4 linked regions of the Oryzias latipes genome follow. The protein of the gene in region 4 purifies or fractionates together with the protein of the main gene of each other region. This does not show direct contact. Links are inferred from orthologs where the notes say so. Each region holds a gene or a part of one and is shown on either strand. Other genes may lie near its edges.

What was found. The genes of interacting proteins can lie anywhere in the genome.
Region 1: the proteins of slc30a5 (region 4) and csgalnact2 purify together in Homo sapiens (co-immunoprecipitation; 3 studies listed by BioGRID and IntAct, counting the BioPlex papers as one, with this or other methods). This does not show direct contact. The link is inferred for Oryzias latipes from reciprocal best matches to the Homo sapiens genes SLC30A5 and CSGALNACT2.
Region 2: the proteins of slc30a5 (region 4) and mettl9 purify together in Homo sapiens (co-immunoprecipitation; 3 studies listed by BioGRID and IntAct, with this or other methods). This does not show direct contact. The link is inferred for Oryzias latipes from reciprocal best matches to the Homo sapiens genes SLC30A5 and METTL9.
Region 3: the proteins of slc30a5 (region 4) and slc30a6 purify together in Homo sapiens (co-immunoprecipitation; 5 studies listed by BioGRID and IntAct, with this or other methods). This does not show direct contact. The link is inferred for Oryzias latipes from reciprocal best matches to the Homo sapiens genes SLC30A5 and SLC30A6.

Annotation. Positions count from the first base shown.
Region 1 is NC_019873.2:29,897,879-29,905,578, forward strand, and holds the start of csgalnact2 (chondroitin sulfate N-acetylgalactosaminyltransferase 2), read right to left. Parts: upstream 4,094-7,700; 5' UTR 3,979-4,093; intron 2,714-3,978; exon of another isoform or gene 2,642-2,713; 5' UTR 2,500-2,641; coding exon 1,848-2,499; intron 1,779-1,847; coding exon 1,562-1,778; intron 1,493-1,561; coding exon 1,391-1,492; intron 1,326-1,390; coding exon 1,147-1,325; intron 1,060-1,146; coding exon 965-1,059; intron 890-964; coding exon 808-889; intron 1-807. Other genes in the region: proto-oncogene tyrosine-protein kinase receptor Ret, read right to left, coding at 5,851-6,008, 6,780-6,927. UniProt on the Homo sapiens protein: Transfers 1,4-N-acetylgalactosamine (GalNAc) from UDP-GalNAc to the non-reducing end of glucuronic acid (GlcUA). Required for addition of the first GalNAc to the core tetrasaccharide linker and for elongation of chondroitin chains.
Region 2 is NC_019877.2:20,099,207-20,107,008, reverse strand, and holds mettl9 (methyltransferase-like protein 9), read right to left. Parts: upstream 4,094-7,802; 5' UTR 4,079-4,093; coding exon 3,899-4,078; intron 3,362-3,898; coding exon 3,171-3,361; intron 3,099-3,170; coding exon 2,889-3,098; intron 2,727-2,888; coding exon 2,542-2,726; intron 2,460-2,541; coding exon 2,224-2,459; 3' UTR 953-2,223; downstream 1-952. UniProt on the Homo sapiens protein: Protein-histidine N-methyltransferase that specifically catalyzes 1-methylhistidine (pros-methylhistidine) methylation of target proteins.
Region 3 is NC_019873.2:10,852,014-10,859,821, forward strand, and holds the start of slc30a6 (zinc transporter 6), read right to left. Parts: upstream 4,094-7,808; 5' UTR 4,063-4,093; coding exon 3,879-4,062; intron 684-3,878; coding exon 637-683; intron 1-636. Other genes in the region: sult6b1 (sulfotransferase 6B1), read left to right, coding at 7,506-7,701. UniProt on the Homo sapiens protein: Has probably no intrinsic transporter activity but together with SLC30A5 forms a functional zinc ion:proton antiporter heterodimer, mediating zinc entry into the lumen of organelles along the secretory pathway.
Region 4 is NC_019870.2:25,538,471-25,546,456, forward strand, and holds the start of slc30a5 (zinc transporter 5), read right to left. Parts: upstream 5,168-7,986; 5' UTR 5,096-5,167; intron 4,978-5,095; 5' UTR 4,766-4,977; coding exon 4,689-4,765; intron 1,913-4,688; coding exon 1,790-1,912; intron 1,696-1,789; coding exon 1,629-1,695; intron 1,498-1,628; coding exon 1,412-1,497; intron 1,345-1,411; coding exon 1,257-1,344; intron 920-1,256; coding exon 832-919; intron 758-831; coding exon 681-757; intron 604-680; coding exon 433-603; intron 1-432. Other genes in the region: annexin A1, read right to left, coding at 7,334-7,390, 7,460-7,582, 7,876-7,934. UniProt on the Homo sapiens protein: Together with SLC30A6 forms a functional proton-coupled zinc ion antiporter mediating zinc entry into the lumen of organelles along the secretory pathway.

The DNA.
Region 1 (7,700 bases), on a different chromosome or scaffold from region 4:
GGCGGTCAGGTTACCTGAATTAAATGTTCTCCTGCTTTCAAGCCTGATCAATGTCCCGCCCCCAAGAGTCCTATACCCCACTGTGATTGGTTGGTTCTTCAGCTCGTCGCACAAAACTGAAAAGGTGTCATTCATACAAACTGGCGGGCGGCATTAACATTAAACTTTCATATTAAGGTGGGGGCCGCAAAATATCATCTTGGGGGCTGCAAATAGCCCGCGGGCCGCGAGTTTGAGACCCCTGCTTTAAACAAACAAATCAGATTCCAACTTCAGCCTCCAGCTTTTAAGAAATACCTAAAAAGCTGTCACTAAAGTTGTTGCTTTCTAAATATAATCGCTTTATTAGCAGCATTTTCATAACAGACAGCTGGTTCTGAATATTCTGCATTATTATTATGGTCTGTGGGATCAACTGTCACCATAAACCCATATTTGGAGTAAAGACTCCTGGTCTTTGTTAAGTGCAGCTCTTATTTTGAAGTGGAAGTCTCCTCTTGTGTTTCCTCTTTTCTGCCATAAGAAACTTTCCAAAAATGTTTGTTTTTGTTCATTCTGCTCGCTTGGGCGTTTCAGTTTAGCGGCCGCTTTAAGAAAGCAGCGGATGGATTTCCAACACGTGACGGAGCGGCATGACATCCGTCAAGAATGACTGGGATGTGGTGGAAAGAAACCACTTTTTCAAAATAAAACTTCCTTCAGAATCAGATAATAAAGATCAGTGATTTTCCCCATTGTAGCCTGGTACCAACAGACCGGTACCGGCACAGATTTACAGAATATATGGAGGAAATAACAATAACTTACCAATGTTTAAAAAATCTGAGCGATACTGACAGGTCATCCCAAACCCAAAGTCTCTCCAGAACCCGGCATCTTTCTTATGGATCTGAAAACAACAGGAAGGACTGAAACTCTGTCTTTCCAAAGTAAAACCGACCAAGTCCAGCTTTACGCCTCTCACCAGCTGCTGGTCAACAGACGGCGCCAGCTCCAGATTCCCATAGACGATGGCCGGGTTGTACAGACTGAACACCACGGGGTAGAAGACCTTCTTGTCTGCAAAGAATGAAGACAGGTCATCAGGTCATCAGGTCATTAGGTCATCAGGTCATCGACGCAGGAGCAGAGAACAGTCCAACCTACTGGGAGCTGTGTGGAGGCGGCAGCTGCTGAGGAACTCCAGCGTGAAGTGAATGTCCACGTCGCAGAAGAACATCAACACGTCGCCGCCCGTCCAAGCGTGAGCGCCGACGTCCAGACCTCGGCCTCTGGAGAACTCCTCTTCCAGCGGGACCAGCGTGTAATTGGAGAAGCTCTCCTCTCTGTGCCAGAACGCAAACGTCACGACCGACGCCAGGAAACGCTTCGCAGCTGGAAAAAGACCAACCTGGACATTTTCTCCAAAGATGACGTGACGTCCTGGAGGCCTTCCTGCCCAAAGTACACCACGGTGAGATGTACCCGCCTGTCCTGCTGCACACACACCTCCCTGAAAGACAGGCGGCGTCTCATCAGCACATCACCAGACCGCTGGCTGTGGGCGGGGCTCCGTCCTCACCTGAAGTTATGTAGGAACTGAGAGAACGTGTCGACTCTGCCCGCCAGCGGCACGATGATGTTGATGATGACTCCCGACGTCTCCACAGACGTGCTCCTGACCTTCATGATCGGGCCGAACGGCCTGAAGAGGGTCACGTGCCGGAAGCTGCTGGAGTCCTCTTTGGCGAAGAAGAGTTCGTAAAGCGTCCCTTTGTCTCGCTCCGTTCTGTAGAGTCCTGCCGGAGCAAACCAGCCAATCAGTAACAAGCCAGGAGAGAAGCCCCGCCCCCGTCTGACAGCTTTACCTTCAGTGAAGTGAGCGTCTGTGTAGGTCTGCCTCTGCATGGGGGCGTCGTCTTCCACCCCGTCCTCTTCGTCGGGGTTGTTGATGATGTCCAGCGCGGCCTCGATGACCTCCACCAGCTCGTCCCGCCGATCCTTGCGGACCGGCTTCTCCTCTGGGTGCCGCGTCAGCCCCATCTCCAGCTGGTACACCTTGGAGGAGCTGAAGCTCTCGAAGGGCACCAGAGCGTACTCGCTGGGCAGACGCGCCCCCACGTTGACCTCCGCCTTGTCGATCTGGGAGTGCAGGTACTCCAGCAGGTCCCCCGGCTCCTGGTCCTTATTCTCTCCGAGGGCCTGAACTCCCGGGGGCTCCTTCTTGTCCTGCAGAAGTTTTAATTTGTCGCTCATCTCCTGAAGCTCCTGCTTCAGCTGAGCGATCTGCCGTTTGAGGCTGGAGGCCCGGCTCAGGTGGCGCTCCTCCTGCTCCTGCAACAGAGCCTGGTAGTACTCCTTCCCATAGTTCCCTCCGTCCGGGCCGGGCAGAACCAGGCTCACGTCTGCAGGCGGCGTGCACTCCAGCATGTAGGCAAACAGCAGCAGCACCAGCAACAGCAGGAGGCCCAACAAGAGCCAGCGGACCCGGCCCTGAAACGGCAACCCGCGCCGGGCCATGGCGTCCTCATCAGACTAGAGCGGCCAGGACTTCATCCCCGTGTCCTCCGCTCACATCCTCCCAAGGCGCCTCCAGGAGAGACATGCAAATGCATGGAGGTCATCTTCAGCTGAAGATCATCTGTCCTTCCATGGGGGGCTCCTGTGAGAATCCAGGACGCAGACGAAACAGCCAATCAGACAAAGGAAGCAGGTCTGAAATCAGTGCTCCTGACTGAAAGATGAGAATGAAACAGAAGAACTGAAGCGTTTTGACAAACAACCGGATTCTAACAGAAATTCACACGAATTCAACGTCCAACCATTTTCAATTATTATTTTAGTGATCAAATAAACGACAGGAGTGATCAGCTCCACCTGCAGAGCTAGCGCCGCGGCTCACGAGCTGCTACGAGATGGTCATGCTAACTTCCGGTATACCTGTCTACCTTACAAAATAAGAGAAGACCGTTTTTTTATATGCTCTCATATTGAGAAACTCACTGTTATTACGGCTAAAAATTCACACGCCATTTTGGAAACAGGTGAACCTGAACTTAGTTACTGTTAGGATTACGCTTAAACCACCAAAGAACATTTCACGCACCTGGGCGCGTGACAGATAACGGGACTCAACTTCAAATACGTGCGAACAACAACATGAGCCTTCATGTAAAAACTCAGTTTGAACGAGAATGAACGAATAAATACGAACAAACGGAGCTTCATGGCAGAGAGGCTGATCGTAAAGTTTAACAGCTTTGGGAATAAAAATAAATCAAACGATGTCATCAGGAATCTAAACTAGTTTAAACAAAAATAAATTCAGCAAAGTGTTGAATAAATCACCACATCGAGAAACAAAACAAAGAGAAGTCTTTTAATGAAGTCTGTCTAAAGATTTATAACTTTCCCCTTTAGTGGTTTTGTGTTTAAAGGTCTCCCAGCTTCAGTTCTGGGCTCAGAAACCGTCACCGTCCTCTGAGCCACAGGCGCGTAAATCAACGTCAAAGGTTCGGTTCCGGTGAAACAGCCGATCCGGATCATCACCGTTAGTCTCGCTGATTTATTAGACAGAAAAATTAAACAACTAAACCGAAATCATGTTTGCACCACGTCAAGCTCTTTATTAAATTGTGCAGAGCAGCTATAGCTTTAAAGTTCAATAGGTTTTCAAATAGCTCACGGATTGAATAGCGTGACATTTGCTGAGCATAAAAATAATTATAATCACAATATTATCTCCAGTATATAGAAGGATAGTTCACTAAACACAAATTCCAGAGGGTTTATTTTCTTCTTTAAGTGAAAAATTAGCGATAAACCATCAGAAACCACAGCAGGAAGTGTGAAATTATTGTGAAAAACCGCGACCGGAAACACCGAACAATTCAAAGCTAGCTTAGCTATCTACGGAGATTTGCTATGTGTTTAGCATGTTTTGATAGTCAAAAACAGCATTTTTATGAACTAGAGTTGAATAAAAAATAAATGACTCACTTGGTTGTTTTATCTTTCATCTCTTCCTCGCCTTAAAGCCGCGTGTTTGCTGGGGAAGCAGCTGCTGCCTGTCCCGCTACAAAATGCCACGGAGCACAGAAAGAAGCTGGTCGGAGTCAATTTCCGGTCCTCAACTGGCCAATGGGTGCTTCGCTGACGCCTTACGTCATCAGACATGCTGAGGCTCACAACAAAAACATTCCTTTTTGCAAATGTTTTATCTTTATTACTATATAATTATTGCATTTTATGCTAATTTAATTTAGTTCATTTTTTTAACTGTTGGATGTTTTTGGTTTTAGTTGCATCTCGAGGATTCATTAAAATGCTAAGCACACTATAAATTAAAAATTATATATAAATGTACGTAATTACTTTACATTTTCCCATATTTCTGAAATATAAAATAAATCTAGATTTGAATGACTTACAGTCTAACTACAGTTAGACCGACTCTGAACTGGACCTTTAATGCTTCCAGATTTAATCACTAACAGAAATCATGTTAAATTACTGACTTTCAATAAGTAAAGCAGTAAATGTTTCCACAAACTTCCATGATCAGCCATCAGATGTGACTGGAACACACAGAACCTCATGGGAACTGCTGACCTCGGCTTCATCACAGAAGTTTCAGAAATGTAAGAATGTCATTTTTTATAAAATGTTGTATATTGTCAGAGTACAACATGGAACACAAAGTATCTGATGAAAAGCTCATAAATACAAATGTTTAAATCTTACTGCTCGAGTCCTTTTTCCTCTTTGTCACAACAACAAACATTTGTTTAAGCCTGAAGGAAATGAAAAAATTTTGTTTGTGGATTTAAAATATTTTTGAAACTTTAGAACACCTAATATCACAATGATAGTTCTAGTACAAACTTACTTTGAAGTAAGTCTAAAATCTTGATTTCACCAAATGTAATAAACATCAAAGAATTTGAATCAATTTTGTTCTATTTTTGAACCAAACTTTGAAGTTCTAGACTTGATTTTATCTGTTTTTTTCACAAACGTTTCTGCATGTGTCATAGTTTAGTGAGATGAGAAATAAAACACAGAGAGACTTTTTAACGAGCCGATGGTGCCACAGATATCTTTATGTAAACGTTGAAAGGACAAGGTTCAAATCTGAATGTTTATTAATAAGTGAAACACAATCAAAAAACAGAACAGCAGTGACAGAGTTTGGCTTACACAAGCATGACAGTGATTGGAAACTTGGACAAAGGAGCTGAAAACATCAAACTCACGGTCTCACATCCTTTAAACAGAGCAGCTTTATTAGATTAAAGTTTGAATGTAAAAAAAACAACAGCAAACATACACATAAATACCAGAGCAAAACTAAGAAGATAGTTCCTAAAACATGTTGGAGCTTCTTTTGTTTGGCAGCTTGGAAACATCTTGTTGGAGAAACATTGTGGACATTTCCAGGAACCCCTACAGTAGAACCTTTCCACGTTCAGAAGCAGTCCCGACTCAGTCGCAGCTGTCTACCGCCTGTGATGGTGCAGTGTCCCCGTTCAGTCCTGGACTGGAACTGGTCTTCGTGCTGCACTCTGACAGCAGGAGGTTTTTGTAGAAGCATCACAGGCACTTAAAGGACAACAACACCGACGAAAAACTGGGACAATCGTCATGCAGTGATACAGTTTGGCCAACGTGACCTGTGAGGTCACGACTAACACAGTGGAGAGCTCCATAACACACGGGTCTGTTTGACCCTGGCGCTTGTGCAGCGAACAGACTTGGTTTTGTAAAGCTGAATACCCGTGCAGCAGAAATAAAAGGGAACCAACTTTACCATCGGATTGTTTTTATGTACAGCCGTACAGAATATCTAGTCATCTTTCTACAGGGCTGTCTTTAGCTATCAAGCGTGTCCACAGCTTTTGGGGGTGAGGGCAAAGCCATCCAGTTTGCATAAACACTATCATTGGCATATCTTGTAAAGACTGGGTTAGTGGCATCATGTCTGCTGAGCGGTACCAGGCTCTTCTCAGGCCAGTTGGGGTATGACATGCCTAAAAACGAGAACACATCATTTTTCTGCACTCAGTGACAGGTAAACAGTGTGCAGGGAGTAAGGCTCTCAAATCAAACTCTGCAGTGCCTCTGGAACTAACGGGGCTTTGGTTTCAGTTTCTCATCAATGAAGCATCCTTTCGTGAAGGACCGCCTTCCATTAACGGTTGGAAATCGCAAACGTGTGAAGCTAAAATCACAGATTTAAATAAGCGTCACTTGAGAGCTGCATTCAAAAGCCTTACTGTTTATATGTTCAGGGTATGGAGTCAAAATAGATCAAATGCCGACACATATAAGAAACTCTGCACATGTAAGACAACCTGGACTCCAAACCAAAACGAACGACTGAGTCAGAGCGGACCTGTTTCCAATGTGACACGACGCTTCCTCCATCAGCCAATGAGGAGCTGCGATCGGGAGCTGGAGGCTATTTACAGGTTACGTAAAATGAGGCGTGGCTAGGAGGAATAGATTATAAATAGGAAAAAAGTATATCTATGTTTATGTATGGTCCATATTTACAAACCTTATGTGTTTTGGTCAGCTTTCATGTACATTTGAAGCAGGTCCAAGTAAAGAAAAAAGTCAAGACACAAACCCCTTTTTCACTGCGCCTCTCATTTACCAGGAAATGGGAGATATGTCAGCATCAAACCACAAACGGCATGCCTAGATCACAGTCACACACACTGGACTACGGAAAGCCAATCACAGCTTGAGTTGTGTGTCCTGTCTCTAAAAGCGAGTAAATGCATGGGAGATTCTACCATAGAGCTTGTTTTCAATCCATGTGGAGGGGAGGGTTCGAGGGAGGGGGGCGTTATTACAGTCCACTAGTGGGGTGTCCTCTTCAGAGAGAGCGTCGTCGTACAGCAGGGCGTCAGCGGGAGTGGACGCCGCCAGGTCCAGGTAATCCTGGGAAGAGCAGACGATGGACAGATTAGGGAGCAGAAGTTCTGCAGAACAAACCGGATCCTGCTGGACTTTATGGTGAGACCGTCTGAAACCCAGGATCCGGACATGCCTGACTCCACTGTCCTGAATCTCCACATTCAGGACGAGCCTCTGTGCTCCACTCTGTCAGTAAACACCTTTACTCCTCCAGAACTAAGTCTGTGTTCTGAACCGCTCAGGAGGAGGAGACGTTCCCGGCGAGTCTGTGACCGGACGTCTGCACTACAGCAATGAAACCACACCAGCTCTGAACACATGAAGCGTTTGGGTGTTGTTGTGAAGGAATATACCATCATTCTGTAAACGGCTTTATGATTTGTCATCCTGCAGAACAAACGGTTCTTGACTTTCACAGAGCCGACTGGACCCACTTCCTGCTTTAAAACCCTTGTTCTCTGTTCTTTATGCCCCCATCGTCCCTGATGGACAGAAGCAGGCTTTCAGAGAGGCTTCCTGTTAACATATGGGAAAGATGCAGACTGAAAACTGTGAAATCATTGACTATAACCCACTTGGTAATGAACAATTGCTTCTAATTGCTATTTACCCTCTTGTTTCCACTAGATAGAGCAAAGGTTCAATTCCCTTTTTCAGTGTTTGGTTTAAGTTCAGTCACGCCAGGGTCACGAACAAATGAAAAGTTCTATATGTTTTAGGTTAAACCACTGTATATGAGAACTGGACTGAGTGGCCCCGCCCCCTGGAGTTCCAAACAGGAAGTACCCGAAGTAAAC
Region 2 (7,802 bases), on a different chromosome or scaffold from region 4:
TACCTTCTTTACCTTAAACATTTAAAACAAACATTGAATCATCAATAACAGCTTGCATCAACAAGTACCGGCTTGGGGAAAATTTCAAATCCACTCTGGATTTGCAGATGTGTTAAACCAAAGAATAATTACTTTTTTTATTATGACATGATTTGAATAATAGTGAAAAATAAGCATTAGCGTTGGAATTTTAATGTTACATGTTTTGTTAATGTATTGAAGAACATTTCCTGAAATGCATTATTTTTTCTATCACACTTTGTACGGTCTGCAACAATTAAATGGTATATATGTCAAAACTATCCCAAAATCCTAATTCATTTAGTTATATTTAAATAAAGGATGCCAGTTTAGTTTAGTCTGTTCAGTTAAAGTTTTAGCATTATCCTATTGGATTCTATGCATTTATGATCCTTTCTGATTGTATGTTTACCATACAATTACAAGTACAAAGCCCACTGAGACGACTGTTGTTGGGAATTTGGGCTATATACATTTTTTTTGCCCAAGAAGATAAAAAAGACAAAGTTTTATCACAAACTACCAACCATAGAATGCTGGAAAATGTTTTGATATTGAAACTTCAGATCTTTTTTTAAGTAATGCAACTATGATAAAACACTTTAGGAGAATCAACACTCCTGATTTGTTCTCAATGTCTCCATTTAGTCTCTAATAAAAAATATGCTTTAAGCACAATAATTTTTAAGAATATATATATATATATATATATATATATATATATATATATATATATATATATATATATATATATATAACATTTATTACACAGAATAATTTAATAATTTTGTGTGGGAATTATCTAAAGAACAGAAAGAAAATATTGTAGATGTAGAGCCTTTCAACTCTGTTCTAAAGTATTTAATTACGAAGACCGGCACTAGGAGTTTTGTTGAAAAGGTGGAAAAACAAGTCAAGAATGTCAAAGACCTTTTTTTTTAAAAGGGTTTTATTAGAATCAAAATGGCACATTTATTCATTGCAGTCATCCGACATCATCCTAAACTCACAGCAAGGTTTGAAATTAAACCACAAAGCACCAGATAATGTTTCCTCCATCATTAAACCCAGCCACTCCAGTTACCCCAATACTAAACACAAACTGCACTAAACAGTGTTAGCAGTGAAGCTGCAGTTGCATCACCATTAAAAGAAAAAGAAAAAGGTCTGAAGATGAGAGCAAAGGCTTTTAAAAATCCTGTCTTTAACCCCAAACAGCAAAGATAAATAAAAACTCATCAACCTAAACATCCTGTAAAAACAGATCGAATTTATAGATCTAAAGCTACAATCAGATACTCTTATTGTGAATATATCAAACGTATGCAGCACTTTTCGGTTTCCTGTTGTCACTTAGAAAGAAATTCACTACTTGATATTAAATTCAGTGCAACAAAGCAAAACAAAAGCATGGAATTCCATAAAGTTTAGCTTGAGGTTTGGCTTTAATACTGAATCGAAGGATGGAAAAGATTTCAAGTTGTTAAAACTGTTTTGGTCAGGTGCATAGATCCATTACGAGTGATCTGGAAATGAAACAGTTCGTAAAATATGATCAAGTTTAGGATCTGGTGGTGCCAAACGTGGCACAGAATTACGCTGATAATCCAACAGAAAGATGCCAAAAGGTGTGACACTCCTATAGGCCAAGCGGCATGTTTTCCCTGCAGTCGTGTAGCAAATGCATCTTAGTGGAGCGGCGTCCAGCATTGTGCAACTAATGCTTGGGATCTTGCCATCATTACCAACCTTGAGGGGGGAACAACGTGAAACGCTCATAAAGTGCTTCACCTCTGGGATATTTCACCTGGAAAACCTCTGTGGGATTTTATGTCTCAGAGGGTGAACAGGCAATTGTAAAAATCTTGTGCAATGGTGAAATCAAATATGTAGTACTATAAATTGAACCGTTTATGCAAATATTGTCAGAAATTTTGGTTAAAACGTTGACAGTTAAACATTTACATCACAAATAATGGACTTGGAAGACAGAAAAACTTTTAGAAAGGATGATCCCCCTTAGGTTTTCGTTTGAAATAACAGTATAACAAACTAAAAAAAAAAAGAAAAAGGAAATCACTGCTGTGTTGCGCCCAACTCCCTGCTTCTAAATTTCCGAGATGAATAAATGCATGAGGAAGAAGAAGAAGAATTGCACTAAAATCCAGGTACTGAGAAGAAATTTTGGGCCCCGTGTTGTGTTCAGAGCTCATGAACAGACTGCTCCGAGTCGCCGGAGGCCTTCAGAACAAAAACCGCATCATCCAGCACATAGTAGTCATTGTACATGTCTCCCTCGCACAGGTACGGCAGACGCGTCACCGCTTCCACCTCAAACCCCACCCGCGGGAAAACCTCGCTGGACAGATCGGTCACCTGCTCCTCCCACGTCTTTCCTTTAACTTTCAGGTGTTCTTTTGGTCGTTCCCACTTCCCGCCTGTCAAGCAGAGAAACGATGCTTGGATTTCTAGCTAGATGAAACGTCAGCAGAAGAGACAGAAATGGGATTCCTCACTGACCGACTTCTACGTAGGGCTGAAAGGGAAGCACAGCAGCCAAGACGAGCCGTCCGGTTTTGGGAACCAAGGCTTTTCTTATTTCCCGCAGGAGGTGCAGTGGATCCTCGCAGCGGTCCAGCAAGTTCAGACAGCTGATAAGATCATACTGAAATCCAACATGCTGCCACTCGTCTATACCCAGAACCCTGTGGCACACGGGAAAAGACAACAAAAAGACAGAGAGGAAAAACTTCTAATTGCCAATTAATTTCAACCCAAAAGAACACAGTGTTATTCTGTGGTTGCATTCTTGTATTGGCTTGAAGGGAAGGAACCTGTGAAAGCTTTTAGGATATGCTTCTACTCACTTGTAGTTCCTCCTCTGCAGATGCCACTTCATTGGCACAGACACCTCAGTTGCAAAGACCTGCCTGAAATGCACTCCCATCACCTCTGTGACCCCTCCATCACCAGCTCCAAGGTCCAGGAGTCTCTCTGCCGTCCAGTCTGGGCCGATCCGGAGCAACTGCTGGAACTGCTCGGACGAAAACACGAACATAGACCCTCTCCCCAAAACCCTGTGACACAGAGGAGGGTCAGGAGCAGGAAGAGGAACACAAGCTGCAATTCAAACACCCACTAGCGCTCACCCGTTAATGGAGGTGCGCGACAAAACGGGGCTTAGGACGGTGGACACCAGCGAGTGGTAGAGCTGCGTGAACAGCCAGCCGGACTTCTCTGCGCTCCTGTTGAGAAAATCCGTGGTGTCCGAGTCCAAGTGGCTTTGGATGAAGAGAGGCCGGACGGATTCTCCCAGCAGATCTGGGCAGCATCGGTACCACTGAACAAACAGAACAAGAGGTTTTGATTTCACAACACTTTTTAAGAAGTCCTGAGGTGAACTCCATCTCCTGTCACCAGTCTCATACAATACCACCCTTTACCTACCCCACAGCCCCTCCCTGAAAACAGTTCAGGTCTGTTTGGATTGAATTTTCTCAGCTCAGCAGAGGTGGGGCTGTGTTAAACTACACAGCAGAAAGTAGAATTTAAGAATTATTTCCTATTTAAATGTTAAAAAATAGTCTTTCCTGTGCAAAACCAATTTCCCCCCTTGTGTTTCAATCCCAGTCATCTTTAAAACTACTGTCACATTGTCTCTTTCAGCATAGTTTCTTTTGCAAAACAGAAGTTTCTCTTTTCAGCATCCCTCTGAATCATTTAGGTCAGTGCAAAGAGGCTAAACGAGCAACGAATAAATAACTAATGACAAATTCGTGACACATTCGAATAAGGACATTCTTGGATTTAAAATAAACACTGTAAATTTAGATTTTGTAGTTTTATATTTTCAGAAAAAAAATAAGGACAGTCGTACCTCGTGTGTTTCCCTGGCACCACTGGCCTCGTGCTCATTCACCATATTCAGGACTAGAGAGCGCACGAGCGGGCTGCGCGCGTGCTTAGCGGTCCACATTCTCCTGATGGAGAGCAGAAACGCCACGTAGCCCAGCAGCCAGGCTACAAAAAACAGAGTCTTCAGCTGTAGATGACACATACGGAAAACAATGTCTGAGAGCCGAGAGAGCGGCAGCCGACAGCAGAGGGACAAGAGCAGGTAAGACGAGAAAACCCCGAGAGGAGAAACGTCTCCTATTCCAGGACTGTAAACCAACCTGAGGTGGGCGTGGGGGGACTTTACGGAGGCAAGCTGCTATTTACGCACCATCTTAGTCCAAGCGGAGCTTTGTTTGCTGAGCTGAAACGGCAGAAACTGAGCCGGGATGAGAAACACTCCCCCCTTTAACAATAAAAACAACCATATCCGCATTCTTCTTCTGGGTGTTTGGGTTGACATAGCACCGAATCTTTGGGGATTTACTGCCCCCTGTCGGCAAACACCGGCAACTTTCTGTTTTCCTGCTGAAAAGGGGGTTCCACATTTCAAGCCATTAATCATACAGAGTATCTAACTTATACCGAATGTATGTAGTGATTTATTTATTTCAAACATGTAAAAACAATAAAAATAACAAATACGATCATGATTTTCAATACTTGGAAAAAAATGTTTTCCATTAGACTGATGATGATGATGATAATTATAATAATAATTGTTGTGACTTTATATGATGTTGCTCCGAGTTACCTTAGCGTGGGTGCTATCAGCGGGTCTCTTAATTAGGACCGACGACAGGGACACAGCTTTCGGTGCAAGAGCTTTTACATGTACTTTACTCTGAAACCCCTCATGGCATATACAGGCCGACAGCACCATCTATTGGTGGCGGTGGTTATTACTGTCTATCACAATATACCACATCCCTCTTTTCCCAAGACATGTTAGTCATAACATCTTCAACAGTTGTTTAAACACAAAAGCACCCTCTAAATAATTTGAACATTAGACGGTCTTATGCTCTTAACATAATGGCTAGGCAAATTCAGATTGTAAACAACCTTACATTTAACAATGTGCATCTTAGTGCAGTAGTCTGAAACTTCGACATACAAACATTTAACTTATTTCTTAAAATGTTTTAAAACGAACATACTCTTTTCTTTTACGTAACCATTAAACAAATCAAAGCAACAGTATGAACACAAAACTGTCACATTAACTAGTCTCTGTATCTGGCAGGACGTATGACTGCTCGACCACTGCGTGTGAAGTACGGTGCTGTGTTTTCCATACTCTCTGAAGATGATTTCTGTGGGGAATCACATGCTGGTGGATCAACTGACTCTGGGTTTTGAGATAATAGTCCATCCGAGTCCAAATTCAGAGTTGTGTCCTTAAACAAACTTGAGTGTGTTTTCCTCAGATGCCTTCTGTTCCTCCTGAGAGTATTACCTGATGGTGTTCGCACGGTGTAGGAGCGTGGTTCCTCTCTTTGATGAACGATGACTGCTGGCTCCCAACCGCGGCGGGTTTGCATATGCACAGTGTCACCAGGAGATAGAACAGGTAGTGGTCTTGCACGCTTGTCAAAGTTCAACTTTTGCTTTGATTGCATGTCTCGTAGTTTTTCTGGCACGTTTTGTGGAGTTGACTGTCTCAACACATTACTAGAACATGGCAGGGTGCTGCGCAGGACTCGTCCCATCAACATTTGTGCGGGTGACAAGTTCAATCCAGTAACTGGAGTGTTTCTCAGTGATAACATCACTAGATGTGGATCAGTGCCGGTCTGGATTGCTTTCTTTAGTGCATGTTTGACAGTCTTAATGGCTCGCTCCGCCATTCCGTTTGAAGAGGGAAAACCAGGGCTGGAATGAGTGAGCTTAATCTCCCAAGCATCTGCGAATGATTTCATCTCATAGCTGGCAAATGGGACATGGTCGCTCACTATTTCTTTGGGAATCCCGTGTCTTGCAAACACTGACTTCATCTTTTGAATGACAGAGTAAGCTGTTTTGTCTGGTAAGTTGAGAACCTCCGGGTATTTGGTCAGGTAATCAATTAACAGCAGATACGGCTGACCCTCCAGCTCGAAAATATCTGCTCCAATTTTCATCCACGGCAGCTCCGGAATCATGTGTGGAACAAGTGGCTCCGCCTGATTCTTTGGTTGCATTTGCTGGCACTGTTCACATTTTGAATCATAGTCTCTATATCAATGGACATACCAGGCCAGTATAGCACTTTTCTTGCTTTAGCTTTCGTGCGCTGTATACCTTGATGAGCCATGTGCAGTTTTTCCAGGATAGTTTGTCGGAAGTTCTGTGGTATCACGATCTTGTCTCCTACCATGACTATGCCTTTGTGAATGCTGATGTTGTGTCGCATGGGCCAATAGCAATATAGTGCTCTGTCTAAACTTTTACGTTTAGTTGGCCACCCATGAATGTGTTTTTCACACACAGCTTGTAGTTCACTGTCTGTTGCAACTGCTGTTCTCAGTCTATTGAGTGTGTCTTCACTCAGTGCCTCTGTAGCCTCTAATGCATACACAACTCTCTCATCACAGCCATTTTCACTTGTGGAGTCATTGTCACTGGTTGCTGTAGCACGAGAGAGGGCATCGGCTATGAACATGTGTTTGCCGGGCGTGTATGTGACAGTGAGTTCATACCTTTGCAGCTGTAACAGCATTCCTTGCAATCTGGCTGGTGCTTTGGACAGCGGTTTGCGCATGATCGCTTCAAGAGGCTTGTGATCAGACTGCACAGTCACTGGTCTTCCATAGACATACTGGTGGAATCTTTTGGTAGCAAACACAATGGCAAGCAGCTCTTTTTCAATTTGGGCGTATCTCTTTTCTGTGTCCGTGAGTGCTCGTGACGCATAACATACAGGTTGTCCATCCTGTAGCAGGCAAGCACCCAGTCCATCTTTTGAAGAGTCTGCTTGTAGAGTCAAGGATTTAGTTTGGTCATAGAATCTCAGAACTGGAGCTTGAGTTAGCGCCGTCTTCAGTGTGCTTAACGCAGCTGTGTGGTGTGGTTGCCACTGCCACACAGTGTCCTTCTTTAGTAACTGCCTCAAAGGTGCAGTAACCGACGCTTCATTTGGGATGTACTGTGCCAAGAATTTTACCATTCCCAGAAGACGCTGGAGACTTTGTTTATCCTCTGGAGTTGGCATGTCAATAATGACTTTAATCTTTGTGTCGTCTGCTTTCTGGCCTGCTGCAGTTATGATGTGACCCATGTATTTCACTGTGTCTACTTTGAATTGAATTTTGTCCTTGTTAAACTTCACATTTGCTGTTTTCGCTCTCTCCATTACCTTTTGCAGGATTTCATCATGCTCGCGCTCTGAAGTTGCTGCTATGATCATGTCATCTGCGATGATAAATACACCAGGGATGTCACCAAAAGTCTCACAGTTCTTTTGTTGAAAAACCTCACTGGCAGACTTAATGCCAAATGGGAGCCGGAGGAAACGAAACCGGCCCCAAGGTGTGTTAAATGTGCAGAGCTTAGAAGATGGCTCGTCCAGTTTGATCTGCCAGTAACCATCTTTTTCATCCAGAATGGTGAAGATTGATTTTCCTGCCAGTTTACTACGAACATCCTCATGTGTGGGGATAGAATAGTGCTGGCGTTTTACTGCTTGGTTAAGGTCACAAGGGTCCAAACACACCCTTAGTGTTCCATTCTTTTTCTGTGTTGCAACCAGACTATTTACCCAATCTGTGGGCTCCTTGACTGGCTTTATAACATTTCTGTCTTGTAAGTCTTTCAGTGTCTTTTTCAGTGGCTCCATTATGGACAGTGGAACATTTCTGCATGCATGAATCACAGGTGTGACGTTTGGGTCTATGTGTATGTGGTGA
Region 3 (7,808 bases), on a different chromosome or scaffold from region 4:
TGGTGCGTTCAATGACCATTGATTGTTTGACTGTTCATGTCAAAGAACCAGCAAGTTAGATTTTCTGAAGTTAACAAAATCTAGAAAAATAGACATGATTTGTTTTCAGATGAAATTTATTTTCCTCATGAAGGAAACCCCCCAGTTTTAGCCCAACAGTTGACCTATACTGCCCCCAAGTGGCAGGACTTGGACCAGGTTTCCACAGATCATTTCTGATTTCCTTTTTTGTTTGAACAAATCTTCCAACTTTAAAGTTTAGCTTTAAGAAAGAATAATCTATGAATTACCATTAAATTTAAATAATTACATTTTATTTACTTTATTATAAAACTGTAACTGTGGTAGATCTCACAAATTTTTGAAATACTAGTAAAAAAAAGCTTCTTGGATGAATCTTGGACTCAGTTTAGTTGGTTGGTTGATTCTTCTTAGTAAAATGTTTCCAGGTTTTCTCCATGTGAGGATGATGACTCTCGACATGACTTTGTTCTCATGTTTTCTACATTCATTTAGCTGGCAGAACAAAGAGTTTCTGTTTCAGATGTTTCATGTGCGACATCATGAGAAAAACGTGAAGTTTGGTGCATTTGTGTGCTTGTGTGAACTCCCCTACCCCTCAGATAGCACACTCACCAAAACATAGGTGTCGTGCTCCTGCTTCTTCCTGTGAATGGGCACATCTGAGGAGGAAAAAAGGCGTCAAGAACAAAAACAGAACCCCAAGATGACAACAAATGACAGACTCACAATCACATTGACTTATTTATAATGATTAAACCAAATTTCTGCTATCCTTGTTTTAATTGGAGCACAAAATCGATTCCTTCTAACAGCTGAAGCTATAGAATGACACACTGAGGGAATATATGCTTCGAACAGTCTTGAGATGGAGGCTTGGTACACTGAATGTCCAATTACTGTTTATTCTCTCTTTTGAACTGTTTTATTGGGTTAATTGTTGTATTTTAACACATTGTTTACTCATGTATTCTTGTAATGTGTGTTTCAATCTGTGTGAGTGATCTAATAAGTGTTTGGAAGAACAGAATCCCACGTAATTTCCCTAGAGATCTAAAAAGAAACAATCTCTACCTGCGTAAAAAACAAAAACATGAATTGGTTTATCAATGTTTTAATAGTCTTAGGCCTTCTTGTCATTGATCTTTTTAAGCCCTCAGATCCCCAGGTGGAGGTCTGCTCACAAAACAAGAGCCCACAGAGAAGCCTCGCTCCGTCCACACTGTGGACCGTCTCTGTGGACCGTCTCTGCGGGGGGGCCTCCGTGAGGTTTTCAGCTGCTTTGAGGATTTCGAAAATCAGACTGAAGGATCTACCCTTTCAGCCTCCTATTTTGATGATATATTTTATATGTACTTTTTAATTGATACATATTTTGAAATTAGCCTAATGCTTGAAAGCAGGAAGCTTGTAGCCCATCCAGCATTTTTTCTGTCACAAGTAAGCTCTCATTCAAACAGCATGTTTTCGTCCGCTCCTGATTCAGAACAATTTGAATAAAGAAATACTGAAAAATGCCATATGAGCTTAATTTTGTTACGATATATCCTTTATCATTACAAAAATGCCACAAGAACATGTTAACAACAGCAACATTTAGCAAACACTTAGTTGCTTTTTGTCTATTTTTTTCTTCAAAGATTTAATTAAATCAGCATTTTAAATTAATGTTAAATTGGTTTATTATTTATTATTTAAATATTATTACTGTAACACTATACACTCAGTGGCCAATTTATTAGGTACACCTGTCCAACTGCTCTTTTCGCAAATTTCTAATCAGCCAATCACATGACAGCAAATCGATGCATTTAGGCATATAGACATGGTCAAGATGATCTGCTGTAGTTCAAACCGAGCATCAGAATGTGGAAGGAAGATGATTGAAGTGACTTTGAACCATTGTTGCTGAGCTAGTCTGAGTATTTCAGGGGACTTCAGGGGACAGACCAGCACCGAGGCACACTCCAGCGCTGCACTAGCGGAAGAGCTGAACGCGTTCTCCTCACGCTTTGACCACACACACCACTGCAGTCTGAAGTCCCATCACCTCATCCTCACTCTGCTTCCAGCTCCGAAACCCTGACTGTGCAGGCACAGGACGTGGCACGGATGTTCAGCAGGGTAAACCCCAAGAAAGCGGCTGGGCCTAATTGGAGTTCCTGGGACGGTTCTGCGGGCCTGTGCCGACCAGCTCTCTCAAGTCTTCACAAGGATTTTTAACCTGTCGCTAGCTCAGGCTTCCATCCCTGCTTGCCTGAAGTCATCCACAGCCTGCCTCAAGGACTACCGTCCAGTTGCACTCACTCCTGTCATCACCACGCGTCTGGAACGGCTGCTCCAAGGACACATAAAAGACTGCCTTTCTCCAGCCTTTGACCCCCTCCAGTTCGTTTACAAAGCAAACAGATCAACGGAGGATGCCATTTCCTTCACCCTCCACACTGCACTGAGCCACCTGGAACACAGAGACACCTACGCCAGGGTGCTCTTTGTGGACTACAGCTCAGCCTTTAATACGATCGTTCCTGACATTCTGGTCAGCAAACTGTCTGAACTAGGACTCCACCCACTCACCTGCTCGTGGATCAAAGACTTCCTCACAAACAGACCACAGACAGTCAAACTAGGACTCTACTTCTCCTCCACCCAGATGCTGAGCACAGGCTCCCCACAGGGATGTGTGCCGAGTCCTCTGCTGTACACGCTCTACACAGCAGACTGCAGACCAGCCCACACCAGCAACACCACAGTGAAGTTTGCAGACGACACTACTGTGGTGGGGCTGATCTCTGGGGACGATGAGACGGCCTACAGAGACGAAGTCCTGAAACTGTCCAGGTGGTGTCAGGCTAATAATAACCTCATCCTGAAAACCACCAAGACCAAGGAGATCATCTTGGACTTCAGGAAAAACAGAGCAGATCCACCACCACTCTACATCAACGAGAACTGTGTGGAGTGGGTCCACACCTTCACCCTCCTGGGCACCACCATCTCGGCTGACCTCACATGGTCTAACAACACCATGACTGTCATCAGGAAGGCACAGCAGCGCCTGTACTTCCTGAAAAGGCTCAGGAAGAGAACAATGTAAGCCAGGAGCTGCTGGTAACCTTCTACCGCTCAACCATCCTGTCCTAACGCATCACAGTGTGGTTCTCCCACTGCACTGAAGCAGAACGGCAGAGCCTCCATAGAGTGGTAAAGACAGCGCAGAGGATCATCAGCTGCCCTCTCCCCTCACTCAAGGACATCTATCCTGCCTTGTATTGACGTTTCAGGCTGGTGGCGGTGGTGGTGGTATAATGGTCAGGAGATATTTTTATTTGGCACACTTTGGGCCACTTAGTACCAATTAACCATGGTTACAACATCAAAGTCTTGTTGGTCACCATGTCCATCCCTCTATGACCACAGTGTACCATCTTCTGATGGCTACTTCCAGTTTGTCATAAAGCTGGGATCATTTTTGAATAATCAAGCTAAAAAAACAAACAAATCAAGAGGTTCAAAACTAAACCCCCTAAAAGCAAGAAAGTAAACAGAAATAAATGAATTCAAAATTTTAACCTACAGTCGTTTAGTTTTTCTCCAGCTTGTCCAACAATCAGACAAGTGTTTCAACTCCACCTGCACTTAACTAACACACACACAGCGGTCCACCAAACCAGTCAGCCACATTCAGACATTAGCAGACGGTAACACAGCCTGTGTGTGTGTGTGTGTGGGGGGGGGGGGGGGGTCTTCATAAAAGCCCGTAAAGCTCTTATTAGTGACGGATAATAAGCAGACAGATGAGGACATTTCTTTTTCTGACTCGGAAGCAGCTGTTAGCATGCTTTAGCATAACAAACCTGGATTCTGCAGGTTTAGGACATCCACCGACACCATGTCAGGCTTATCCAGCGGTCCCACCTTCCTCTCCGTCACCCCAGAGGGCACCACGTCCGGCTTTGGGCCGAACTTTCGGGGGTAAAACTCCCCGACATTGCTGTAAGAAAGACCGGTGGACGTGGACATCATTGCGTCCATCGCCATTTTGGACTTCCTGTACCCATGAGCCTCTTCGGTTCACCTGCGCATGCGTTGTAAGAAAAATCGTTCCAGCAAAATTAAAAGGAAACGAACATAAAAATAATAATACTAATAAAATGTACAAACATTTTTTCAAATAGAGCAAGTTTGTGGTTAAATTCAGACAAATGTTGGCCAAAAGATAATTTAAATATAGAGGACACAATACATTTGTAGAGTTAGATAAATGTTGTAACACATGAGATTAAAAACTATTGAATCAAACATTTTGAAATGTGTTGCAGGTCATCATAAATAAATTAGACTTTGCTGCAATACTTTCTCACAGCAATCAATGCTGGCAATTGCTTTTAGGCAGTTAACTACAGATATGGTTGACTTATAATATTAAAACAGAAAAAGTTGGATATAAGTTAAATACTAAATTATAATCACTGCACGGTGACGCTTTTACCTCACAATAAGAAGGCCCCTGGTTCAAGTGCCGGCTGGGGGACCCGAAACAGAACACCAATGGGTGACCTTTCTGTGTGGAGTTTGCATGTTCTTCCCGTGTTTGCCTGGGTTTTCTCTGGGAATTCCGGCTTCCTCCCCCCATCCAAAAACATTCTTCATGAATGAATGAATGAATAATTTAAATAAATGCATTGAAAACACTCAATCCAATTGTTTAGAAGCTGTTTCAAGATGGTAAAGGTTAATATATAACCACCATGACATAATTTATTATGGTAGCCCATATCTCAGAATAGGAAAATTAATAAGAACACAATCAATCAAAAATATAAAATAAAGGTTTAAAATTTCCTAATAACATCTAAAATCAGAAAATTTGCTGTTTCTTTTTGTCTCTTGAGTAATTCATTATTCTATGCTGAAGAAGCTAAGAGGTTTAGATGTTTCACATGTTTTGTGAATACTTAACACGATACTTTCCTGTCTTCTTTTTTTATTTTTACTACGGTATATAGAAAATAGAGTTGTTCTAATCCTGAAGCACAACACGATTACCTAACAACAAAAAAGTCCAAACGAATGAGCTTTTAGAGGTGACCCAATGATGTAATCAAAAGGCAGAAAAAATGTGTTAAATGTGCAGAACTCACATTTTTATTTTCCATTGTCATTTTTTCTTATGGAGACTAAATGTGACCTTCCAGAATTCTATCCACCATCATCAAAGTTAGTAAGATCCTCGGCGTGTGTAAAGGGGCTATGTCTGTGGACATGTCGTGAGCTGAATGGAGAGCACCCTTCACCCCCACCCTTTTCTGAGCTGAATGGGGCCCTGGGTAACTGTCATTAAAATGTGCAGGGATGGAGGGAGTGAGGCCACGTCAAAACAGGAGAGGAGGAAAAAAAGGTTCTGATCCTGATAATCGTTCCAATCCCAAAAAAGAGTTGATAGCTGAATCCAGGAGTGTACTCACACCTGGAAATTCTGGTTCTTCTCTGCTCAGATGGAGTTAGGGATGTAAATGACACAGATATGTTTCGAAAAATCCAGACACCATGGTAATAGCAGAATTGGCTGCCAGCCACAGACACAAACAAGATTAGTAAAAAGGCATCAAAGGCAAATCAATAGGGAACTGAATCGTCTTTTGGTCAACTTTGTTGGTTTCTCTTCCTGTTGTGTCTCTACCGTCTTTGCCTTTTTATGTACACGTGATGCAAACAACAAGACGTCCAATCACAAACTCGCATCTACCAAATCGATTCAATTCCAAAAGGCTGAAGGTGAACCAAAGGGAGGAATGTGTGTTTTGTTCACTAAACGTTCAAAACCTGCAAACAAAACTTGATTTTTTTTACCACAAAAAACAAAACAGTCTAAAAGACCCAAGATGAAGGTTTCATGTTTGAAGCTGTATGTTTTAATTAATGTAAATAAAAAGTGCTGGTAAGGAAATAAAATGTTTAAAGGCATTTTTAGTTATATTTTTAAATGCCAAATCATTAAAAGATATTGTACATATTGTATCCATTTAGGTAAAAGAATTTAACTCAAGCTTATTCCCACAAAGTTAGATTAATCTTTCATGAATGGATTCTTGTACCACTAATTGAGGTGCGCATGAAATCATGTGAGAGGAAAAGACAATAACCCTAGTGTGGACTTTGGTCTTTCTATGCGTGAATGAATCAAATTTACCACCCTGGGGTTGTTTTTTGTGAGGAATGAACATTATAATACGCTTAAAAGGTCAAAAAATTGATTTTGCAAATTTGTAAATAACGAGTATATGTAACAATTGCTGCACCCACTGCCCAGGAACAACAAGGGAAAAGCTGCACTAGTTTCAGGAATAATAACTATTGTCTAGTTACAGTTTCAAGTTTCTGATAATAATATTGAATTTCAAGAAGGGTTGCTTTTAAAATCTGCTTTAAAAGGCTCTGCGTGCTGTTTTTAACAGCCAAGGTGAGCTGCTAGACAGTCTCAGGTGATGAGGCGTGCTCTGTGCACACCAACTCCCACTAACACTCCTTAATGCCTGGCTGTGGAGGATTCTCAGCTCCAAAAGGGAGGATGACATTCAGAGTTTTTAGGCTTAAACGTTGCTTTGTTTCATTCACATTTACACCTTAAGCAAACTGTAGTGAAGTCCATTTGCAAGACCAAGCCCACTTTTTCAGACGAGTCCCCATCTGCAGTATAGCAGCCTCTGTGGCTTCAAAGGAAAGTCTTTGAAATTCTGAAATGAAATCTTGTTGTTTTTTGTTTTTTTTACCAGCCCTCGTTTTTGTCATGAGGTGGAAAAATATGGAGTTTTCTTGAAAACATTTAGGAGACATTTAACTTTTTGATGCATATTGACGCAAATATGCATCAAACCACTTCACCCTCCAAATTTTCTCAATTTAGAACGTGCATGAAGCAAAAACAAAACAGTTTGAACGATATCCGATCAGGTTCTCTTCCATCTGTGATGCACAAACCAAAATACGATTTTGAATAAGTCCCTTAGTTGCATTCATGTCTCTGATAATCATATGTAAATTTTTTTTAGTTATATTAAAATCCTTATATTATACTTTTATATAATTTATTTGTTATGAACAAATTAGAGATCACATTCCAGGTTGCATTTTGACCAAGGATGGGAGTTGTGTTTCATAACAGAGTTGGAGGAATCATGTAGAAGACAATGAAAGTTTTTTTCTCTTAACTGCCTTTTGAGGAAGTCTAGATTTGGAGTTTCCTGTGAGGTTTTCCGGAGTCCATACTGCATGTGTTTGCGTGCCGAGAGGAGGGGCCCTCCCCGCCTCCTCCTCTTGCTCCTCCTCTTCCTTCTCCCCCTAAACTTTGTCTGTCTTTCCAGGCACTCCCTGTTTGCTCTCAGTCCAGCTACAGTTCTGCACCTCTTACTCCAACAACTTTCTCCAAAGCCGTTCTTGACCTTTTGCCATTCTTTTGTGTGCAGCTTCACTCCCTCATCAGGATGAGCACCGATCCAGTCTTCAACAAGATGCAAGGCAAAATCCAGATGGCAAAGGAAATGAGTGAAGACAAAAAGTTGTACCGATACAAGGGGGTGCTATACCCGACCCTTATGTGTCCTGAGGAGCACATGACGGCTCTGGACAACCTGAAGGCCAGGGAGGATGACTTAATGCTGGTGGCTTATCCCAAGTGTGGTGAGTAACAGAGATCTGCAATCAAACTGGAAAGACTTTTTGAATCCAAATAGTTTTGTTTTTAAATCCCACAAAACATTCATATTCAGATATATTCAGACATCCCA
Region 4 (7,986 bases):
CTGACTCAGTCCAGTTCTCATATACAGTGATGGATCCCTATTTCTGATCAAGTGCGAAAAGGCCACAGGAGCTCAGCAGAGAGAAAAGTTAAGATGGCACCAAGAAAAACCTCAGGAATAGAAAATTCTGGGGCTCCAACAGTGTCCGCGCTCTATTAATACCTCCTAAAGCTCGGTTGGACGGCTACTCACTTCAAGAATACATCAACAAAACCGGAGCTGCACAACCAGAGTGTCGCGAACACAAAAAACAGGAGAAAAGTTCATCAAAGCAAACTGAGTGAGACCTCATCATGAAAAGCCAACTCCACCCCTTCAACCAGTGTTTTAGAAAATATTTTTTTATTGTGACGCCGTCTTGTTTAAGGATGCTCTTAAAGGATTGCCATGCTGAAACGACCAATTAAGTCCCATCTCCTCTAGTTTACTCACTTCTGTGGTTACAGACAGGAATATCACCCAGGGGAGCAGCACCACGGCAGAAACTAAGCTGTCCAGGGCGTAGAGACGCTTGGAGCCTCCGATCTCCACTGACAACTTCCTGGCAGCCGTGTGGAAGCCAACCTTCAGGAACAGAGACACCACCAGAAGCACGACTCCACCCTAACAGGGAGCAGAGAATGGGACCGTCACGATGCAAAGCCTGTGCTGGCTTTACAAGACATTCAAAAGAACCGTACTTTATGATCTGCAACGCCCAAAAAAGAGATGGCCGTGTAGAGAAAATGAGTGAGAGCGCTGTCGTGATGTCCTTCAGCTGCAGAGACATCTGTCAAGGTTAACAGGTCAGCGAGCAGAAAAGTTGGGCAGAAGGACAGCAACCAAGGATACGGTGATCTCCCATTTTGGACATGAGGTCGTCGTTGTCGAAGAGGAGGAGGCAGATCACGGCGATGATGAACAGAGCAGCTCCTCTGGTCTGAACAGAGACACCATCCAGAAAAAAGAAAAACTCAGATTCTTTTTTAGGAAACAACAGAGACTGACAGAGTGAAAAAAAAGTATTTTTCCAGCATTTCAATAGACAATAGCCATGGTTAAACTATGATTTAGCCCATGGCCTCCCTATAGAAGCAGTAAAGATGCTTACAGAACCAAAAGTTAAGATTTCACAGAACTGAAATGGAGGAAAGAACAGAATCTCTGCAGAAAATGTCATTCTAATCCATGAATAGCTCATTTCCAGTCCTCCTCACAACAATAATGCATTAAAAATGAGAGTCTGTAAAGAGTGTGAGTGAACAGGGCGGTCCTACTTTGGACGGTCCTCCTCCGGAGTTGGTAAACAGGACACTGAGGAGCGCGACCACCACCACGTCAGCATGTTCAAACAGCAGCAGAGTCCTGCAGGAGACACGCTGGTAAACGCACAGAAGCAGCTGCAGCTCCACATCACCACAGTGCATCCTACCTCAGAGGACCACAGAGAGTCAGGCCGAAGAAGCCCAGGAGGGAAACCACGCAGCTGAAAACGGCGTGCTTCAGCAGCTTTATCCACTGAAAAACAGCAGGGGAAAAAACTCTCAAATGATCAACACAAACCGTCAGGGATCCAAAAGGGAACAGCTTTTTTTTTTTATCTTTCCCTTCTTCTGGCAAATCTTTGGTATTGAGGGAATCCAACACACCTGTCTTTTGGAGATGATTTTTCCGGATGAAAAAGGCTTTTGAAAGACAAGCAAAATAACAGCACTCCTGAAAAAAATGAAAAAAGAAGCAGCTCATGACATCCCAAAGGCTGCAGTCACACACACCAAACTCCCGGTGCTTCTGAAATGAAGAAACTCACCCCAACTTTAAGATGAAGATGAACTGAACTATGTGGACAAACTTTAAGATGTCGTAGGATTCAAAGACTCCTAAAGCTTTGAGCACCTTGGAGACGACCAGCAGAGCGATGTACTTCGTCAGCCTGTCAGGAGACAAACATGCGTCATGAAGAAAACGTTTATTGCTGTTTATTCTCAGACGTTTAGATCCTGTTGGAAACCATCACCCACTGGCATAAAAACAAAAAACTGATCAATGAGCGTGAACTTCAGCCATAACCATTGACTGTAAATGAGAACTGGACAGAGTGTGACGTCACCCATAGAAAAAGGTTTACTTTCAGCTCCAACCGAATGAAGTCCATTCAGTCGACATCAGTAAAGCAGTGAATGCTGCAAGTCAGGTTGAGTCAACGTTTCTATGGCAACCATTCTCACCAATCAGGAGTGAGCTTGTTGGAAGCCCACACCCCCGACCACTGAAAGTGGGCTCAGGAGCATCTCTTGATCAAACGTTTTGAAGTTTCAACATAAAACCACCTCCTTCTATTTGGTCAGTTTATAACTAGAATAACTTGAACTACAGAATAAAAATATCCTGAAAAAGAATAAGATCAACAACAACATGCTAACAGCATGAATGCTAATTCTGACAAACAGCTGTTGATTTCTATATAAAAGTCAACGAGATTCTGGTTTCTTGGAACCAGCAAGTACTTCCTGTTTGGAACCAGCAAGGGGGGCAGGGGCCTCTCAGTCCAGTTCTTTTATACAGTCAATGGCCATAACTTGACCGTTGGACAGAAAATGCTGCAGACAAACGTCACCTGAGCTTCTTGTGCATGAGGTGTTCAACAGTTATAAACCTTAACAGTAACTGAGTCCATGAGCCTGACTGACATTGGAGGCTTATCTGCACCTGAATGCCAAGTTCAGAGGAGAAATGCATCGCAAAGCTTTTTCTGGAGCTACTCCGGCCTCCGTTTGATGTTGTATTTTTGTTTCTTGGCTCGCTTGGTCAACTTATCAACTATCTGAAGGATTTCTATAAAAGGGGCTGCAGTGGTCAGCATCAGGCCTCACAGCATCCGGTGGTCCTGGTTCACATCCCGACTGGAACGTTTCTGTGTGGCGTTTGCGTGCTCTCTCTCCTCGTACATAGACGTGTGCGTTTTCTCCAGCTTCCTCCCACAGTCCAATGCCTCACGGGTTAATTGGTGTCTCCAAGTTGCTCCTTGGTGTGAATGTGATAGCATGGCCCTGCAACAGTTTGGTTACCTGTCCAGGGTGTACCCCAACTTCAGCTACCAGTAGCTGGGATAGGAACCAGCAACCCAGTGACCCAGAAAGGGACTCAGCGGTTTCTGAAGATGAATGGATAGATATTTGTATAAAAAGGTGGCATGCAGCGATTTATATCCTTTTACTGATTTGGGGTTTAGCAAGTTGTTTGACTTATTGTAGCAGTCGTGCAAAACTGGTTAGCTGATCGTACTCTCCACACGGATTCAGCAAAAACTAAACTGATCTTTCATAAAAACCCAGAAAATTAGCTATTCAGTTTCTTCTGTCCAGTGAAGCCTCGAAAACCTCTATATTTGCTTTGATAATATGAGACATAGATCCTAATTAGGGACACTTTTATCACATTCTAACCAGTGAAAGATTTTTTTTCCCCCATCTCATTTCAATAATGCTTGTGTGACTCACTTGTTTTCAAACTGTGCAGGATGCTGACTTTAAACATCAGCTAGGAGACAAACAGACTTTTCTCTATTTTGCCCTTCGATTGGAAAGGAGGATTTTACCATTTGTTTTTAGAAACATTAAACCAGTTTATTCTGAAGTTTCTATGAATTGGTGTAGCCAACACCTATTCTTGGTGCCTAAAACCTGTTTTATAGTTGGGGAAGACCCCCCCCCTTTCCCTTTAAGCAGTTTCTTATTCAGACCAGCTTTAGGGGGGATTGGGTTTTATGGTTCGATTGCTTGCATTTCTCATATTTCTGTAATTCTGTTCATGCGGTTTGTTTTCATTTTAGGATCTTTTCTTTCATCTCAATTGCACAAGATTTTTAAGTAATTCTGTAATGTGCTTTGGGATTTTATGTAGAAAAATATGCAGAATAAATAAAACAAATTAACAAGGTGTACGAGAAACAAAACACTATTTTCTTTATGACCCAAATTTAATATGGAATAGGAAGAGGGAAACTTTAAAAAAAATATGGTCAAATTGTGTGTAGTGGTATAAATAAAAAAAATAAAAACTAAACTAATCGGTCTAACAAAGCACAGACTCCTGGGTGTAAAATCTTGACCCGAGTAACAAAACAAATGTTTTTGTTTGATGGTTTTCAATTTGATTTCTGATTTAACACCAATTTCAAAAAATAGGTTAATTTGGCAAATTTCTATTTAATACATTTTGATTAGTTATGAAAAACATTCTTCACATAACTAAACTGAACAGATAAGGAGTTAAAAATAAAGTCAAAGCAGATTTGGCACAAAAAAAAGAGATGAAATAGTTTGAAATGCTAATCGACACAAAGATATAATGAAGTGATTTACAGCATTTTCTATGTGAAGATCAACATGATGACATTAATCAAGTCATCCCTGATGACAAACATTTCACTTGCATTGATTATTATTCCTTAGATTGTTTGCATCTGTGAATCTTAAGGTTCACAGGAGCTTCAGAACATGATGATCTCAGGAACTTTTTGCTGCAAAACGACTTCATTGTGCATCTGAATCATAGCACCGATTTTTCCCTTCTTTTTCTGGATTGGACTCTGAAAATCAAACGCAAAAAGGTGAAATACACTTTACACGAGTCCGAAGCTCATCAAAGGATGACACTGGAAACGCAGTGGGGCCCATGATTCAGGTAGGGTGACGTGCAGCTGTTACCTGGAGTCCGGCACCTCCACCATGCCCAGCTTCCCCCCGGACAGGACATTGCTGCTGTACTTCTCCTCCGAGTCCATTCTGAGCCCCGGACACCAACACTTCACATCGCTAATGAAACGCTGCCACAACCGCCACCCACGTCAGGCTAGCAGAGCGTTTCTGCCTCAGGAGGAAAGTCCGACATTTTTCTTCCAAACTCTTCTCTCTGTAAGAGTTAGCTGTTAGCTTAGCTAGCTCAGCAGCTGGGCTGGTTCGGCAGAAAAGAGGTTTTCCTTGTAGTTTGGAACAGCTGTTAGACAAATAAACAGAAAAACAAACACACCGGTCCGGCCGATAACTTACGACAACATCATTCAAAATGTTTCGCTTAAAATAACTAAAGTACCACGAAGAAATAAAAGGATTACGTTAAAATAACAGGTCTGTCCATTAAGCCACGACACTTCCGGACACGTCACGTGCGAGTATTGTGGGTAAATGCTGCGCCTGCGCGGTACTATGTTCTGATTTTTTTTGGTAAATCTTTATTAAAACCTTAAGTTTTCAGAGCACTAAAACAATTCTGAATTAAATTTTACTGAAATCCTTTGATTTAACTTAAGAAAACAATTGATAGTATGGTCAACAGTTAAAAACCTGGAATTTTAAGAATTAAACTCAATCAGGATTTGTTGAAGAAATACCAAAACATAATAATTTTGAACCATTTCTTGATTCATTGGAATAAAATTTGTTAACAGAAAATCACGGTTTCCTTTAATTCTAGCTTTCTGCAAGGCTTTTGATCTGTTTAAGAAAGTTTTTATAATCAAAACTCTTATTTATATAGACTTTTACAGAGCGCTGAACAAGACAATAACAAAAATAATAAATTCTTCCCTCAAATTAGCATTCGTGATACACAAAATAATGACATGTGGGAACACAATGATGATTTGTGGCCACAAGATATAGCGATTTGTGCATACAAAAAGTGAATTTGTTTGTTTAATGTCATGTCCAAGGCTCCATAGATTTTGGCTTTACATTCATCAATATAAATGATCTTATTATGTAAGACATCTGCTTTGTGGTCTCAATAATGTTTTTTTTTTATCCTTCTCCAACCGCTCAGTTTCTCCTCCTGAGGGTACATACAAAGGATTTCAGTTCTGATGTGACACAAGGCTCACCCAAACTGTTTATTAGATTTTGAACCTTCACTTGTGTCAGAAGGACCTCGACAAGTAACACAATAGGTTGATGACACTACAGTTATTTTGTGTATGGGTTAATACACACCTTAATGGATTTATGGAGCAACCCCCCCCCCCCGCAACAAAAAATAAATAAAAAAATGAATAGATTTAAGAAAAAACTTTCTCCATGCGGAGCTTCAATAGTACATTTAAATCTTAAATATTTTCCTGGCCCCTCATAACTATTCTAATGCAGATCTTCATGGACTTTCTATGAGATATGAATTTAAATATTGAACTACAAATTGACACCCATGCACCTAAAATAGTGGTGTTAAATTTGAAATATTTTCACTGAACAGTAAAAGGTAGACTATTTAATACCTCTGTTTCATTGTTTCAAACATTTCATTCAAAGATGTAAATCCTCGAGTGTAAACCCCCAGTTTCAAATTTATCAAAGGGGAGTTTTGAATTTTATAAAAAGCTTTGTGTGAAAAAAAACTTAAAATCAGAAAATTTTAGAATTGTAAAATCACAAAACACAAATACCTAAATGCCATTTCATGTACACTTTATCTTGAATACAACAGTTTTTTTTTTAAATGTTCTGTTATGCAAGCTCCGTCAGTGTTCTAGTATGTAAATGATCAGAAATGCTCATTGTAAATTAAACAATTTAAGGAGGGAAATTAAAGCATTAAACTTGCTCAGGCTGTTTAAAAAATATATCAACACAATGAGAGGAAAAAAAGATGACAGATTTCTGAAACTGCAGAAATCCTTTAGCAATGAGGCGGCTGGGAGATGTTCTTTGTTGTAGTAGAAGTATGAATTACTTTAACTGTTCCAAACATGTTCAAATTCTAAAATTGTGTGCAAAAAAGAAAACTGATGCCCTTTTGTCAAAAATAAAACATTAACACAAAAACCAATAGGTGTTTCAAGAAAACATTTCCATTTTTAATTAGAAATCGATATGAAGTAGAGGGAGTGATCCTAATCTATTCTCCTTTTACCAGTGTTCTTGAATAAGGGAAGCCTTCGCAGGGTCATGTCTCCATAAGTGCACACAGGGTCTCAGGTTTTATTTAGATGTAGAAGAATGTCAGAGCAATATTACAAAATATAGAAATATGAATATAAACTATTTTTGGATACCTTCATTTTATCTACTTTGCTTTAGCTCAGCACGTAGCTCAGGTGTGACTTAACAGTTTGGGATCTTGAGAAAAACATTCATATGCTCCATTTTTACCAATCAATGGAGAATTTTCTTGTCCCCTTTTTACTCAAGAATTTTTAATTGGTTCTTTTGTCTATTGATCTGGTTAGAAACTAGATGTTTTGGGATAGCACTTTATTGATACATCAACAGAATAGCGAGATTCACAAGATGTTAAGATAGTATGTTGGGTTTTTAATTGATGCAAAGTTTTTGGATGTCCAAGTGATGGGTTCAGATCTTCAGTGAGGTCCACACAATCCCAGCAGGATCTGCTGGTAATCTCCTTTAGTGTCTTTCTGTAAAATACAAATACTTTCAGCACAAGTACCTTGTGAACAAAAAAGACAAAGTTCTCTTTTTCTTGCCTGTATGTCCTCCTGCAGGCGTCGGCCAAACATGGCCTTGTACTCCTCAATGATCTTCTTCAGGTCCACTTCGGAGCGGCTCACCAGAATCCTGATCAAAGTGTTATCCCGCGTGCCGCTGCCCTGTAACGGATTCATGACATGCTGGATCCTATTATACCATCACCAGGCATGCTAGGATATTATGGTATTAGCCAAACTAAGAGATTTCCTGATATTTCATGGTCTAAACCTTTACTACATTTGAAAACCGATTCTCAAAAGAAAATACGTTACTTATTAGTAATCTATCTATCTATATGATCAGTTTTACATAGCTAGAAACCTTTTGATACTTTATCACTGCAGTATTTTACCAACTTATTGACAAAAGTAATATAAATTCTAAATCAAGTAAACTTCAGGTTCATACACACCTTCATGGAGTTATGGAGCTTCTCAGCAAAGAAAGCCGGCGTGTTCCAGGCACATTTCACTGCATGGCAAAGAGGAACATGAAGAGAAAAACAACAAAACAAAAAAAACAT